Linked DNA regions of Callithrix jacchus. The protein of the gene in region 4 interacts with the protein of the main gene of each other region in a pairwise test. Links are inferred from orthologs where the notes say so. Each region holds a gene or a part of one and is shown on either strand. Other genes may lie near its edges.

Evidence for each region.
Region 1: the proteins of DEUP1 (region 4) and TBC1D22B interact in binary tests that used the Homo sapiens proteins (3 or more experiments, as listed by UniProt). The link is inferred for Callithrix jacchus from reciprocal best matches to the Homo sapiens genes DEUP1 and TBC1D22B.
Region 2: the proteins of DEUP1 (region 4) and ESRRG interact in binary tests that used the Homo sapiens proteins (3 or more experiments, as listed by UniProt). The two-hybrid records come from large-scale screens. The link is inferred for Callithrix jacchus from reciprocal best matches to the Homo sapiens genes DEUP1 and ESRRG.
Region 3: the proteins of DEUP1 (region 4) and TXLNB interact in binary tests that used the Homo sapiens proteins (3 or more experiments, as listed by UniProt). The two-hybrid records come from large-scale screens. The link is inferred for Callithrix jacchus from reciprocal best matches to the Homo sapiens genes DEUP1 and TXLNB.

What each region holds. Positions count from the first base shown.
Region 1 is NC_133505.1:45,599,866-45,603,979, forward strand, and holds the start of TBC1D22B (TBC1 domain family member 22B), read left to right. Parts: upstream 1-1,314; 5' UTR 1,315-1,461; coding exon 1,462-1,517; intron 1,518-4,114. UniProt on the Homo sapiens protein: May act as a GTPase-activating protein for Rab family protein(s).
Region 2 is NC_133520.1:12,250,467-12,254,515, forward strand, and holds the start of ESRRG (estrogen-related receptor gamma), read left to right. Parts: upstream 1-1,249; 5' UTR 1,250-1,305; coding exon 1,306-1,394; intron 1,395-4,049. UniProt on the Homo sapiens protein: Orphan receptor that acts as a transcription activator in the absence of bound ligand. Binds specifically to an estrogen response element and activates reporter genes controlled by estrogen response elements.
Region 3 is NC_133505.1:146,070,098-146,074,080, reverse strand, and holds the start of TXLNB (beta-taxilin), read left to right. Parts: upstream 1-1,183; 5' UTR 1,184-1,261; intron 1,262-2,104; exon of another isoform or gene 2,105-2,231; intron 2,232-3,824; exon of another isoform or gene 3,825-3,838; coding exon 3,839-3,983. UniProt on the Homo sapiens protein: Promotes motor nerve regeneration. May be involved in intracellular vesicle traffic.
Region 4 is NC_133511.1:46,998,574-47,002,637, reverse strand, and holds the start of DEUP1 (deuterosome assembly protein 1), read left to right. Parts: upstream 1-1,264; 5' UTR 1,265-1,389; intron 1,390-1,595; exon of another isoform or gene 1,596-1,807; intron 1,808-1,862; exon of another isoform or gene 1,863-2,063; intron 2,064-3,030; 5' UTR 3,031-3,074; coding exon 3,075-3,103; intron 3,104-4,064. UniProt on the Homo sapiens protein: Key structural component of the deuterosome, a structure that promotes de novo centriole amplification in multiciliated cells.

The sequences.
Region 1 (4,114 bases), on a different chromosome or scaffold from region 4:
AAGTTCTGGCTGTCCAGAATACAGACAAAACATCCACCTTAACAAAGCCTTAGTACATTCCTCTTTGGGTTTTGTGTGCAGTGGGTCACTGCATCTTAAGAAAAAGAAGCGCCAGAGAAAGGCAGGTAAAATGATTAAAAGAATAGAGGGGTGACTGGGAGCTGGAGGACATATAAAGAAGGTCCTTCTTTGGCTGGGGCCAGGGTTCAGGTCCTTAAGCATTCTCCAATGTGTGGAAGGACCCATGGGATCAGGTCTTCAAGTATTCTCCAATATTTGGACTTACATGTGGTAGCTGTGAATGGGGGGTGGGTGAGGGGGTGGGGGACACGCAGCCCACCTCAACAGTCCTTGAATGGGACAAAAACCACTCTAGACTGGTGCCTGCTTTCTCTCCCCAAATCACCACGGAATACAACCATAGAAACTCAAAAACAGTAAAAAACACCGACAAGATATTTTAAATGCTAATATTAAATCTCATTGTGAAAATTAGATTGAAAATAAATCCAAGGATGCAAGATTTATAATAGATTAACAAGGGAAATTAAGGATGTTGGTGGGTGAGGAGGAGATGTATCCTTAACTTTGTGATTCACACGATGGAGCTATACTGTGTCCTTCAGAGAAATGGTACTTGGTAATCTGAGTTGGACGGCTATCATAAACCATTTCCTATACACTGTTAGCATAGTCAGAAAGTGAGAGTTATGAATTGACATCGGGATTAGATAATTTGAATTTTTCACCCACAGCACAATTCCTTCCATCGTTTTCAATAAACAGAGCGAGAGGGAGACTCTGATGAACTGTTGCTCACGTGCTGAACCGTTAGCAACCCCGGGCTATCGGATCCCTGATGACCTTCCTTCAGAAAAACGAACGGACATCTAAACGGAACGAGGAAGGGGAGGGTAAATAACCAGAGTGTCCCTGAGTTGAGAGATGTTAAAAATGGAACACAATCAACACATGGGCCCTTACTTTTAGGTTAAAGATTCCTATACATAAATACATCTCGCCCTTGCCAAAAAATATTAGATTCAGGAAATTCATTCCTCACGAAGAAAATAATCCCCTCTCTTCCATTCCTTAGGTCCCTTACTTTACCTGCTTCTTTCCTCTCGAGGGCAGGAACTTTGAGCCCCGCCTCTCTGCTCCTTCAAGCTCCGCCTTCCCCGTCCACCTGTATGCCCTGCCCCTGACGTTACCCGTTGGCTTCAGTGGCTTGCAGGATTCCGGCTTCTGATTGGCCGGCCCGGCCACGGCTTGCGCAGCCCACCAATGGCAGCGGCGCTGGGTGGAGGGGTGCCCAAATCCAAGATGGCGTCCCCAGGAGCTGGGAGTGGGTGACCGGCAGCGGGGAAGCGGCCTGGGTTGGCCCTCAGATTGCGGGGTCTGGGGGCATCTCTCCAGGCAACCCCCCTGGCCCGCCTACAAGGCCTTCCCCCGGCCAGAGCAATGGCCGCTGAGAACAGCAAGCAGTTTTGGAAGAGGAGCGCTAAGCTGCCGGGGAGGTGAGCCCAGGACGCTGAGAGGGAAAGGGGATTGGACCAAACCCTTCCAGATCCTAATCCCTAATCCCGCGGGCCTGGGGCGCCACCGAGGCCGGAAGACTGGTTTGGGGAAGCCAGGCGGGGAAAACTGGGGCTGCCTGGTGGCTGCAGAGCAGCTGTCAGGCAGAGGAGAGAACAGCGAGCTTTGGGGACGGCTGGATGTGGGTGTAGACCGGGGTCTGGGGGCGGAGGTTTCAGGAGGGGTGACCTCAGCTGGAAGGTGGCCGAAGATTGGGCGTAACCCGCAGTGGAGTTGGGAGATAAGTCAGTGTCGGCCCTGGTCTCGGAGGTTCATCCCCAGAGCTGCTTCCCACTCTAATCAGAACTCCCTCTCAGTGGTCTCCACCACGCACAGGTGGTTGCTTGCTTGAGGATGGCCCCTTCCCTTGTTCCCCTAGCTGGACAATTACCCGAAGGATTCTGGTGTGAGTTTGTGGCTTCTTGCCGAGAGGGTTAGGTAAGAAAAGTGAGGACAATTCTCAAGCCTGACCTTACTTTATCTTGAGTTGGCCCTTTCCCACTAGGAATTAATACAAGGCGACCACAGAATCAGGGTTATTCCTTTGGCATTTTCTAAGGATTTGTCCAACCCCAAGTGACTTCTTCCTTCCTTGCATTGTAATGCTCTTCTTGTGCAAATGTACTAAATTCTTTCATTCTTCAGTTGTTTCGCTGGAGAGCAGACCTCCTCAGACTACCCCCCACCCCTTTTTTGGTGTATGTTGAGACTTTTAGCAAATTACCCATCCATCAATCTATTGGTTTACTGTTTCAGTTTATTTTGGGGAGAGTCCTGAGAAGTATAAAGTAGAGTGTGTATTTCAGTCGTGAATTTAAGATTTCTGCCAGCCACAGTCTACTTGGTGATGAAATTCATGTTTGGTTGTGCCCCACGTGCTACCTTTTCTAGTGGATTCAGGTTTTTTCCTTGTGAGATCATCTTTTGAACTCGTGATTTTTTTTTGAGACGGAGTGTCTCTGTTGTCCAGGCTGGAGTGCAGTGGTGTGATCTCAGCTCACTGCAGCCTCAAGCGATTCTCCTGCCTTAGCCTTCTGGATAGCTGGGACTACAGATGCGCGCCACCATGCCTGGCACATTTTTGTATTTTCAGTAGAGACGAGGTTTCACCATATTGGCCAGGCTGGTCTCGAACTCCTGACCTTGTGATCCGCCCACCTCAGCCTCCCAAAGTGCTGGGATTACAGGTGTGGGCCACTGTGTCCAGCAGACTTTATTTATTTATTTATTTATTTTTAAGCAAGAGAGAAATGTGGGTCAATAGTGGCTAGATAAGAGCCTTAATTTTTTCTTTTTTTAATGAAATAGAGACAAAGTCTCACTCACAATGTTGCCAGGGCTAGTCTGTAACTCCTGGCCTCAAGTGATCCTCTTACCTTGGCCTCTCAAAGTGTTGGGATTTCAGGTGTTAGCCACCATGCCCCAGCAAGTCTTATTTTATTAAGGATCCTATTAGACATATGGAGAATAGGGTGGAAATCAGCTTTTAGTAATATTTATTAAAATAATAGGAATGCAAAGATAACTTCAGATTAAAGTGCTGTGGATTTACAGTGTTAATATTACTGTTAAAGATGTTCTATGTCTTTAGGTAAGCACCACTTCCTGCCAGCTGATTCGTTTTCCTTCCTGGTCTAGTGAGCTCTCTGGTTGTGCTGACTGCTATTCTCTGGGATTTTCCATAGTGAGATCATTAAATTTTGACATCCTAAGATTATAATCAGAATCAATAGGAAAACTTGTATCAGGAAGCAGTGTAAGAGATGTGCGACATGGCATGGCCTTCTCTGCCTTCTGACTGGTGGTTGCTATTAACAGTCTTTTTTCCCCATATCTCCTGTGTTTGACTATAGAAGAGTCAACATTTTAAAAGCACTACTTTTCTGAGATAGGAAGAGAAGTCTTTTCAGTTTCCTCAAGTTTCTGGATTCCCTTTTCATTTTGAAGAATATGGAGAAATTGAGAGAGGGCCGGGAACAATGCCTCACACCTGTAATCCCAGCACTTTAGGAGGCTGAGGCGGGCAAATCACGAGGTCAGGAGTTTGAGACCATCCTAGCCAACATAGTGAAACGCCGTCTCTACTAAAAATACAAAAATTAGCTGGGTGTGGTGGCGCTGTAGTCCCAGCTACTCGGGAGGCTGAGGCAGGAGAACAGCTTGAACCTGGGAGGTGGACATTGCAGTGAGCCGAGATCATGCCACTTCACTCCAGCCCGGTGACAAAGGGAGACTCCATCTCTAAATAAATAAATAGACAAAGCAAGACTCCATCTCTAAATAAATAAATAAATAAGTACATAGAAATAGAGAACTTTTGCCGGGCACGGTAGCTCACGCCTGTAATCCCTGCACTTTGGGAGGCTGAGGCGGGCAGATCACGAGGTTAAGAGATCAAGACCATCCTGGCCAACCTGGCCAAACCCCGGCTCTACTAAAAATACAAAAATTAGCTGGGTGTGCTGGCGTGCACCTGTAGTCCCAGCTACTTGGGAAGCTGAGGCAGGAGAATTGCTTGAACCCGGGAATTGGAGGTTGC
Region 2 (4,049 bases), on a different chromosome or scaffold from region 4:
TCTCATTTCTTGCTTTAGAAATATCTTTATCTCTAAATGTACAGAAATTAAAAAGGAAATAATGTGATGAACTGCTTCTTTAAGACAGGGAAAGAGAAGTTCTACACTGGTCATTTGGATCTGGGGAATATTGGCTGGTAGGGAGGGAAGTAGGAGGGAGATCGAATCCCCAGGCTGTATTTTCCTAGCTTTGTGTGTGATTGACAAAGGCCCAAATAGCCTGTAGATGCTGGAGGATTACGTGGGTTGGGAGAGTTCAAGTCACCATCGAGCTTCTCCCTCCACATTAGCCTGGGGACTGAGGTTTTTTTCAGGAGTATGTTCTGCTGCTTCTCAGTGATGCTAAGGAAAGAAAACTATCAGCAGCATGTTGATTTTAGTTTATCATATGTGTAGAGAGTTTGATAGTTTTACTCTGTTTAGATAAATAACATGGAATAGAGGAGATATATAATGGAAAGGTAGAGAGCTCACTAGTTCAAACTAGGGAAAAGTCTGAAATATAAAGTTTAGGAAAGTAGGATGTTTTGTTAATCACTAGTACATAATGTGGATATCCTCACATTGTTTCTAGGTAGAGGTCTTTCAGAAATTTCTTTAACAGGGCTGGGCACAGTGGCTTATGCCTATAATCCCAACACATTGTGAGGCCAAGGTGGGCAGATCACCCAAGGTCAGGAGTTTGAGACCACCCTGGCCAACATAGTGAAACCCCCTGTTTACTAAAAATACAAAAATCAGCAGGGCATAGCGGCACGTGCCTGTAGTCCCAGGTTCTCGGGAGGCTGAGGCAAGAGAATCACTTGACCTGGGAGGTGGAGGTTGCAGTGAGCCGAGATTGCTCCACTGTACTCCAGTCTGGGCAACAGAGTGAAACCCTGTTTCAAAAAAAAAAGAAAAAGAAAAAGAAAATTCTTTAACAGATATGTTAGATATTTTGTAATTAATTTCCTTTAATAAATATTTTTGGGAGTCTACTTGATTTCCAAACCCTGCTCCTGACCCTGAGGCTAGAGTGGTGACAAGGAGAGCCCCAGCACTCACAGACCTTAATGTCTCGTGGAGGTGTTCTGTGATTACGTAACTATACAAAGAGGAACATCCGGAATTCCAGAGGGTGGTGATAGGAAGAAAAGAAATTGAGGATATGATAGAGAACAACTGAACAGTCAGAGGAATATTGAACTTTAAGGGGTAACCTTTGAGCCAAGAGCTGAACAAGGAGGAGGAGCTGATCCTGTGAAGATTTGAGAGTAGAATGTTCTTGGCAGACAGAAGAGCAAGTGCAAAGGCCTGGAGGTGGGAATGAGCTGCGGTGGTTCAAAAAACAGGAAAAGAAAGCAACACGACTGGAGCCTAGTGAATGAAGGAGTGTTTGGACTTGAAGCTGGCAGGTAAGCTGAGACCCGATTGCATTCAGCCTTGTTGCCCGCAGTAAGGCGTGCGCAATGCACTGTGTGTGTGATGGACAGCCAGAGTATCTGCTTGCAGACAGTACGTTGAAATTCTTAAGGTTTATTGAAGTTCTGTCCCTGTAGTATTCCTTTCATCTTTAATTTGCTCGGCTAATCTTTCCTTACATATAGTATGAAGGAAAATTCAGCCTATATTGGATTTTCACAAGAATTCTGAAACCATTCTGGTTTGAATGAAATAAAATGCTATTTTGTGTTGGATGGTATTGAAAGGCTGCCCTATCTGCACTGGGCCCTTAATCTCATTTTGGGTGAGGAATTTTCCTTGAGCAGTTCAGAAGAGGGTAACGTTCTGTTTTGTGCATTCTTTGTATCATTGCTTAATGCAAAGATCCCAGCAACCGCTTCGAACCCTAGAATGCCTGCCTTGTCGTAGACTTCCAGGCAATGGCTGGGGTTTGTAGTCACATACAGTGCAGATGCCCATTTGTATCTGTAATATCTGAGCCTGCCTAATGATCACGCCGCAGCCGGGAGTTGTTGGCGGAAAGCTGTCTTCTGGGCTTCTCGTTGAACATTTCATTCTCCAGTGTTTGTGTTGCCCCTCCTCTTAGGGCTTCCTGAGCTTGCTCTGATAAGTAAAGCCAAGTTTACTTTGTTAAGCTCAGCAGTTCCCAGCAGTAAATAGATAAGAAGGGGGAAAAAATTAAGTATCTTTGGGAGAAAAGAAGCTGTTTCTGTTTACAACAGACACTTTGTCCGCTTTTTCATGACTTCGTTTAATTTTCGCGGTCTGATACGACATTTACCATGATATCCCCTAAACTTTGAAGTTTAACAGAGGGTTTGATTAAGCTTCTTGTCTCTGGTGGAATCATCACATCTGCAGGTAGAACCCTCTGAGTTATTTGAGGAATGTCAGTTGCACTATGTCATCTGTGGGAGAGACGGTTGTTGTTTATCTTGTTTAGAGAATTAAGAAATGATTATCTAACTGATCATCAGTTGGGGGGTGATGATCGCAGCTGCAGTAAATACCCTACTAAAACTTGTAGCCCTCTCATGAATTTTCAAAAGAGTTACTGCTGACTGAGTCCCTTGGTGCTAGGGGCATTTTTGAAATAATCTTTAACACTTATAGCAACCCTGAACGGTAGGTACGGTCACTGTGCTCGTTTTGCAGGTGAGGAAACCGAATCATCAAGAGGTTCAGGGATTTCCCCCGAGTGGAGATGTGAACCCAGGCTCTTTGCATCAGGCCCACTGCCTCCTCCCTCTTGTGCCCTGGGCTCTGTGTATCCTCCTTAGAACAAATGCTCAAGTGTCCAACCAAGAACGTAATTGGATCCTGCAGAGAGTTGCTTTTTTTTTTTAAACTAAATAATGATCCGTGCCTGGTAGCATGCTGCCAGAGCTGCAGAGGATGGTTGGTGTAGATGGCATGTCAGGGGCATTTAGTTTAACCAGGACGTCCACTGTCCTCATCCTCAATTCCCCAAGGCACTTCTTACTCTTCAGGGTGTTTTTTTCTCTTCTGCAACTCTGAGTATTTCTCCAAATGAGATTCAGTCTATCCCCTGAGTAAATAGGCCAGCAGGGACCAGCTGTACAGGGTTCCACCGCCTGCTGTTTCCTCTGTGAATCATGTTCACACCCTCCATTCCTTACAGCTGAGCAATCAGATTCTATCCATATCACCTCAGACCTATAATCTCATTCTTTCCATTCTTTCTTCTATAGTCTCCTGACACACACACACACACACACACACTTGCACACACACAACCACACACTTGCACATACAGCCACAGCCACATAAACACACACGCATCTCTTTGCCTAAGTAACGTTTAGCTTAAAAAAGAGCTTGGCCTGGTGCTACAAGAGTCATGGTCTTTCACAAAGCACTCCATGAAGAATAACATGCTGGGTCATGTCTCCTGTGGTCATTTCCCATGACAGAGATCCCCTGCAGTGCTGCATTATGTAGCACTGGTAATCTATGCCAGATGACATGGGCCTGGGGCACACAGAAGACTAAGGGAATAAGAGGGTACATGATTCCAGGTATGTTTTACAAAGCTCAGAGAAACGTGGTTACACATACACACAAACATGCAAATAAACAGATGTATATGATTATGCACAGGTGGTCCCTTAAAACTGGTCCCTTAAAAAAAAGCAACTCCAGCACTGTGCTTTTCACACAAAGGCCATTCACAAATGCTTGATGAAACAATGACAGCCTTGTACTGTTTCAACAAGTGGGAACGTGCAAACAGGATGGAGTTCAATTGGCCGGCAGTCATTGGGAACCACAGGCCAAATGTGTCAACAGTAGAGAACTGCCACTAAAAAGGCTGGCAGACCCAGCGCGATACATGTGGTCGTGTAGTAGATCCGCGTGTTCGGGGAGGTAGAGCAGCCTCTGAATTGAGTGTCATTTCAGCCATTAGTGTTGTGTTTCATATGGAGCGACACAGCCGTTTCAAAAGCTCTCATGCTTCCTTAGCTGGTGGAAGTTTCAGAAACGATGGGACTATGTACCAGCTCACTACAGAACTCTCAAAGATGACAGGAATAGGTCCAGCTTTGAGAGTTATGTGGGCAATACATGGGAGCATGAACAGAGAA
Region 3 (3,983 bases), on a different chromosome or scaffold from region 4:
CTCTAGAATCTGTTTCCTTGCCTTTCCCAGCTTCTAGAAGCTTCCTGACCTACGCTGAGGTCATCAAATCTCTTTTTTTCGCCTGCAATCCTACTGCCTTCCTCGCTCATTTATAAAGACCCTTGTGATTACACTGAGCCCACCCAGATAGTTCAAGATAATCTCCCTACATCAGGGTCCTTAATCACATCTGCAAAGCCTCTTTTGTCATGTAAAGTAACATACTCAGGTTCCAGGGAATGGGACAGATCTTTTGTGTGGCATTATTCTGCTTACCACAAGGGATGCCACTATGTCCAGCCTGTCCCCAGAGCAGAAACTGATGGAGGAATCTGCTTTGGAAGTATGAGAACACAAGCTCAGAAAGAAAAAGAAAAGAGGAATGGATGGAAATTAACAGAGAGGCATTTCATGGTGAATCAGAAAGAGGTTCTTTTTCTGAGGGGGATCAAGAAGCATTTTGAGAATTTACAAAGCCGGGGAAAGCCACAAACTAAGGAAGAAAAAGCAGACTGCTTCCCTACGGGTTTGTTTGAACACAGTTACCTGGGAAAGACGGCTGCGAGGTCACACCAATTACAGCATGCATGAAGATTATACTTAGTTCAGTTCCAAAATCACCATCTACATTTTTATTTCAAACTTTGCAGACAAACCAAACAATGACATCATAATTAAAATGGTTCCACCACCTCCCTGTGCTGATGCCATTGTTTTTCTTTTTCCATGATTCCTATAAGAAACCTGACACTAATTAAGCTAGCGCAAGAAGCAGCAGAAGAAAAAAGATGAATCATCCACCACTCTGCAGATAAACCAAGAAGTAAGAAAAACTGATCTCTACCCAAAAGGATAATGGTGAAAGATTGCATTCGCAAAGGGGGTGATATACTCAGAGCTTAAATTTCCAAAGAGACAAACAACATGGAGAGTCCGATGAGCTCTACCAGCTGCTTCTCTCTGCTAAGACGTTTCCCCTGGCGACAGCTAGGGAAGCTTGGGTGTATTTTCCCCTTGCTGTGTCATACGATGTGCCTTTCCCTACCCCCACCTCCTCCAGACTGCTGCCTCCATCAGTGCCTGTGGCGTGCGTGTGTTTGTGTGTGTGCATGTGTGTGTGTGTGTGTGTGTGTGTATCGGGTTTCTCTCTCCCTTGTAAGAACACCACCAGCCCGCCCCTCCTGCTGTTGCTGCAGCTCTGACTTGCTTTTTCCTGCCTCTTTCCTCTCCTCTCTCTTCTTGCTTAGCTCCTTGCCTTCTGGTAAGTATGACAAACACTCCCCCAAGCCCTGTGAGAAGACGTAGTGTGCGGTTTGTGGTGTTCAGAACTTGCAACTTTGAGATTGTCAGTGAACTGTTGGAGAACTTTTCATTGTTGTATTTATAAATAAAGTGTGTTCCTCAGGGCGGGATGTGTCTGTGATAGTCATCTGGAATAGCCAACACAAGTGAAAAGTTCTCTCCCTGGGGAGGGGAAAATAAGGCAATTAAGTTTATTTAAGAAAAAAATTAGAAATAATTTCTTTGCTACATAATATAAAACTAATGATTTGAAAGTAACAAAGTTCTTTGACTATGTTGTTTTTTTCCCCTCTTATGAACTTGTCTTGAGGCTACTTGTAGAAATTGAGTTGTCCCGGGGTTTATACTGACTATTCTGTTTTAAAGTAAATGTGGAACAGGAGTTTAAAGAGTAGCCCTGGAGTTAAGAATTAAAAACATTAATGACTGTGGCATCTGATAAAGAATGAATCAAATACAAACAACCACTTGGATTTAGACTAACCAAAGTGAAACTCCTATGGACAGTCTACTTTCAATTAATTATTTTGAAGTTTGTTTTACATGAGATTTTATTTCTTCCCATGGTAGTCTCCTGAGCATTAAAACCCACGTGCGGATTTAAGCCAGTAAATGTTTACTGTTTTCAATTTGATTGAAAAATTATTCTCTTGATTTTCAAGGATGAAGTGCTAAATGCCATGACTCATTTTAGAAGAGCTTAAAATAGCTTCTGGCTGGACAGCAGGTGCCATGTGTCTTTCTCTGAGTTTGGGGTTGGGGCGGGGGATAAGTTATATATAGATGAGCGCAATCAACAAGCAGAGGTCAGGGTGAGAAAATCCCAGTGACGAAGATAATGAAACTGTGTGCTGCATTATTTGGTAATCAAGTTGGTGAATTCAAATCAGTGAAAGGAAAAAGTACTTCCTCCAAGTTATGAGTGCTTGGTGAGCATCACGAGTCGGTGGCAACGTCTCTGTGTTGAGTTTTCTGTTCTTGTTGGTGTCCGAGCATTTGATTGACATCTACTGCCCTGAGAACAGGAAAAGGAAGCTGTGCAGTTTGTAAAACTGTATGTTTTTGTTTTCACTTTCATGTTACCACAACAGCAAAATCTGTGAGTTATGAGGATCTTGCCATATTTTTATGTTGCTAATTGGCAGCGTTATTGCTAAATATTATTTACAAATAAAATGCACCATAACTTAAAGGGCTAAACCAAATCTATTGCAACCCTAGAAGTCATAATAGTCAGAAACCCTGGAATCTCTGACTCACTTCCATCTCTAACCCTTTCCTAAGAGCCATTATTAGTTGAATTATTTCTCCAGTTGGTTTCCTCCTTGTTTATGAAACATTGCTACTTCTTAACAATTATTGTTTTTCTAGAGCTTCCTGACTTAGAGAAAATTGTAATCTGCTTTTTCTTTTTAAAAGTTGGTTTATATATTGCAATAAAAGAGTATTATAGAAGTTTAAGGAATTGTTGGTATAAGCATCACCATGTTTCTTTTCTATTTTTCTTTCTTCCTCTTTTTTTTTTTTTTGAGATGAAATCTTGCTCTGTCTTGCCCAGGCTGGAGTGCACTGTCGCAGTCTTGGCTCACTACAACCTCTACTTCCCAGGTTCAAGCAATTCTCATGCCTCAGCCTCCCAAGCTGGGTATACCAGTGCCTGCCACCACACCCAGCTAATATTTGTACTTTTAGTAGAGACGGGGTTTCACCATGTTGGCCAGGCAGGTCTCCTGGCCTCAAGTGATCCACCTATCTCGGCCTCCCAAAGTGCTGGGATGACAGACATGAGCCCCCATGCCTAGCCCATGTTTACAGACTACTTGGTTTATTTATTTATGTCTTCCCTTATTCTCTGTCTTATTCCAAAAATGATGCCAGTTCTAACCTCAGAAAAAGTATTCGTGTTGCTTTTCTGAAAAAGAAAATGCCAGAAAAGTGAGAAAGCACTCTTGTTTCCAGTGTAATAATGCATTTACATCAAAATATTCATACTAAGCAGAATATTGAATTATGGATCAAATAGAGCTTACAGATGTTATGAATCGTTTAAATAAATTCAATGGGTCTTCTATTAAATATTTTAACTTTGAAAGAAAACTAATGCCATTTTAGATTTAAATATTTTAAATATATGCAGTCATGTGTCTCCAGTGATTATTAATCTATAGAATTATAAAGGAAAATTATAATGCAAACTGGCTAGTGTAGGCAAAATGACAAAATATGGTCACAAAAAAACAACAGAATGAATTAATTTCTCAATGTGAATAATAAGGAATACCACTGAAAATTGAAGATCAAAACCAAAAATATGCCAGTAGTATAACTTGACTTGGTAAAAGAACTTCCACTGTTTCTACTTTAATAATTGTAACATGAATGGTTTGTGAAAGGACATTCACTCTATGGTAGAAAGCATAATTAGTTGGTATTCACTTGGGGGATATCCCTGCCATTGAAATGTAGCATTGATATGCAGCAACTAGGTTCGCTACATAAAGCCTAACTGTGCTTACCTCTAGATACTACTCCCAAGATGGAGGCTAATCACTCTGAACAGCTTGCAGCTGAACAACAGTCAACACCTCCAGGGGACAGCTCATCATTACCCAGTCACAATGGTCTGGAGAAGGAACATGGCCAGGATTCTTCAACCGCAGTACAATCACCAGAGAAAGAGG
Region 4 (4,064 bases):
TCTCACTAGCCCTGTTTAGAAAGCTTTGCACCTGGCCACACTCGTCCTGTCCTTTAGACTGGGGCCTTCCTGTTCTCATCCCTTTCAAAACAAACTTACCTGAAAATATCTAATAATAAAGACATTTCAGGGTTAATTCAAGTCTTCACAGTTACTTCTTACTAGTAGGGTAGGGGACAGGTATTTGCATTTAAAATCTTAACTCTCATCCTGAAATGAAAACCTTTATTTGTATTCAATTGAATGGGGTGTTCCTATTCTATATTTAAATTTTCCTAAAATCCATTATAGCATGTGTCTTATCACACGTTTTCACAAGCCTTCCCCTGCACCTCTCTTCTGTGTAAAAACATGAAACCTACGGTTTACTAAGGAAGATCCTGGCTGCTAAAGAAACCAACTCAATCTTAATGTTTGGAGAACACTGGATTTGGAGTAAGATGATCTAGGTTCATGTCTCAATGAATCATCCATTTCAAGTGCAAGTAGATGGACAAATCCATGGACATATCCTTCATTCTCTCTAAGCCTGGGTTTTCTAATCTTCTGAAAGGAGCTATTAATAACATCTGACACACTTGCTAAGTGTATAGGGTATTTCTGAACCTCTAAAGTAATAATGAACATGGAGGTACTTACCAATGTTACATAGCCTTAGTGATCTTGGGCATCTGAGATTTCACTAAATTTCATTCCTTGTTCCATTTTCCCTTCCTTGGGTTAGAAAAAATACATTGACCCAGTCAATTCAGACAAGAATAAAAAATATAACTAAGAGTTTTCAGAATAATGAAAAGTTTCAGGTTAAAATGGCATGATCACTCTCTTCATGCAAACATGAGAGCTATGAAACACTTATTAGAACTAATATCCCAGGTTACTCTATTCATCTGTGAAGCTCAATTTGTCAAGAAACAGCATAATGGTTTTATAAAATCCAGAGGGAACCTGGGTGGAGGGATGTGGGTGAGCATTAAATTGATAGAATATTAAAGTAGAAAATGAGCGTTAAAGTGATGAAAGTAGAGTGCAAATAAAAGACTTTAAGAATAAAAAGTAGTCAACTCCATGTATTAGGAAGGACTTCTGTGGCTAAAATAAATCAAACACAAAATTCAAGTGCTTAAAACAGATCACTCAAGGTGTCAGTTGGAAAACATATATTCTTTCCTATCATTTCCTCTATGAAATGAAGAGAGAAATTTGTCATCAATGACTCTTGGAATTTGGTGGGAAAAGGAAGGAATTTGGAATCAGTCCCACTGAGTTTCGTTCCAGCTTCTCCACTTAGAAGCCATTCATTCCCTTCTCCCTGAAGGGAGGCAACACTGTCCCGCTCGCCTGACTGGCAGTTTTCTAAGAACCCATCATAGGTGACGGGAAAGCCAGGTACAAGCTGGAGTCACCACAGAAACCAGGGACTGAGCAGTGAAATCCAGCTCCTCCCAGCTGGAAGACAGTCGGGTGAACGGAAAGGAAATCAGTTCTCTTTACCCCACGTTTCTTTTTCATACCACTTCAAATTTGAGTAAGAGGAAAGAGGGCCAAGGGGATTTAAAGAACCTGGCTGACAACTCCCCAGCGGTCTACAGTACCTTTGTGATCGCCTTGTTTCATTAAGTCAACAAGTATTTCGGGCTGCAGCTGGGTGCTGGGCCCTGGGGTAGCAGTGGGACTACAAAGAAGAAAATCCCAGAATACAGGGGACACTGGACACATAACTGCGGGATAGCGAGGTCGCGCTGGCGCGGGGCGAGGTTGGAGGCAGCCGAGGAGCCCCCGCAAGGGCCGCGTCCGCCGCCGCCTCGCCCTTCCCCCACCCCGACAGCCGCGAGTTTGCCCGCGACGTCCCCATGGCAACCAGCGGCGGCGCGGCGCGCTGGGAGGGAGAGCCCCAACAGCCTAGAGGGCCGCGCGGCTGGAGGGCCTAGGCGGCGGGAGCTCGGCGGCGGGTGGCGGGCCCCCTTGGGGCGGGCCTGGCCGGGCGGGAGGTGACCTACGCGGTCCTGCGCCCCGGGCCTCAGACCTCTCGGGCAAGCGCGGCGCGGTGCGGTGCAGCGCAGGTAATGGCTCTGAGCTTCCCCGGCCCTTCCTCGCCCTTGAACCTCACCCTCTCCCTTCAGCCGGGCTGGCGCGGGATATCCAGCGGGACAGGGGGGCCCCGAAAAGGGCGGCTGCTCTGCAGGAGGCTGGGCTTGAACTGAGCGCGGGTCCCGTCGGGGCGCGTGGCGGGGAAACAGAGGCTGGGAGGGGAGGCCCGCCCTTGGAAATGCAGAGCAGAGCTGCGCCCTAGGTTAGAAGGCCTGGGCTCTAGTCGTGTGGCCTTGGGCAAGTCACTTAACTTGTCTGTGCCTCAGTTTCCCTGACGTTTAAGTGAGGGATTTGAGAACCTACAAAACCATTTATTCGTCTGCTCGTTCTGGTCAAGTTTTTTTTTCACCATCCCTGCTCGTCTCCAGTCTGCCCCGCACACAATTCCTGGGTCTCGCTTAAACTCTTCGATTTGGAAGTGTTGTGAGTCTGAATCTTCCTCCTCTTTCTACTCCCTTGAATCCTTTTTAATTAACTTTTATTCAGTGATTCAGAGGAGTTTTCAATACTTTCTCCAATTATCGTCATAGAATATTTTTTAGCTAAAATTTTGTTACCGTGAAAAACTTTTTTAAAAATTTTAACTTTAGGCAAGTACTAACGTCCCTAAAATTAGCCGGGTGTGGTGGCGTGCGCCTTTAATTCCAGCTATTCAGGAGGCTGAGGCAGGAGAATTGCTTGAACCCAGGAGGAGGTTGCAGTGAGCAAAGATTACGCCACTGCACTCCAGCCTGGGCGACAGAGCGAGACACGTTCTCAAAAAACAAACAAACAAAAAACTCCACAAAACAAATTCAAGTTTCTATATTTTTTAGGACCAAGAGCTACTACTATACAGAAAAACTCATACTAAGTGGTTTTTGCAGTAGGAACATTTTTATGTTTTATAGGTTAATGAATATAAACATTTTAGGAATTTGTGTCATTTTCCTCCAACAGGTTAAAAATCAAGAAATATAAACCAGATGTAGCAGTTTCTTGACATGGAGAACCAAGCCCATAATACAATGGGGTAAGTGCTGGGAAATTTCTGTTTAAATAAGTGCATACTTAACTATGCCAAAAACTTCCTGAGAACACATGAATTTTGGAATTTACTGTTAATAGAAGGATATGCCAATTGTTTTCGGTGAGGCGGATGAGAGGAAATACCAAGTGACTGTAATCAAGGATTATAATGTGAGTCTTTCTGATTTTGACACTACAGATCTGCACTCAAAAATCAGTTTTCCAACTTTTAGTGACTGTCTGATGTCTAAGGGTGATGGATACCAAGGCAGGCCTTATGTGCTCTTATATTACCACAATGCAGCCTCTTCGCCAGCTTGTTCCTTTTTTTGCTGCATTGAGTATCTCAAGTTTCCCTCTATTCTTGTCCATTAAGGCTGAACTCAACACTTAAACATAGCCTCAGAATAGATCCAACTCCATAAAAACATCAACAAGAAGTAAATATTTTACCAAAAGTTTCACGAAGAGATGAGGAATAAAATTTGTATAGCATTTGTCATTGTAGAAAATCAAATTCCTGTTTACAAATATCTGTCCTAACTGTTTACCTGCTACCAGCATCACAGTTTTCTTTTCCTGTTATTTCACTAGTCAACTGACCACTGGCTGAACATAGAGTTTGGGAGATGAGAGGATGAAGAGGTAGTTGTATAGTGCCTCATCTTGACTGTGACTGACTTTGGCACTAACCACAACCACTTCAGGTGTCTCACTTTCAGAGATTCTGCCCAGACCATGACTTTGATGTCAGGCTGAAGGAAAGCTGCAAAGTTTGGACAATAATCATTCCTATCACTTTTTAGCTCCTACTGCATACTCCTTCTTACAACAGCCCAGTCAGGTATTACTCTTATTTTACAACTAAGAAAAGTAAGTATATTACAGTCTAAGCTCTTATAACAAACAGACTCCAAAAACAGTGGCTTAAATAAGATTAAAGATTATTTCTGTTTCATATTGTT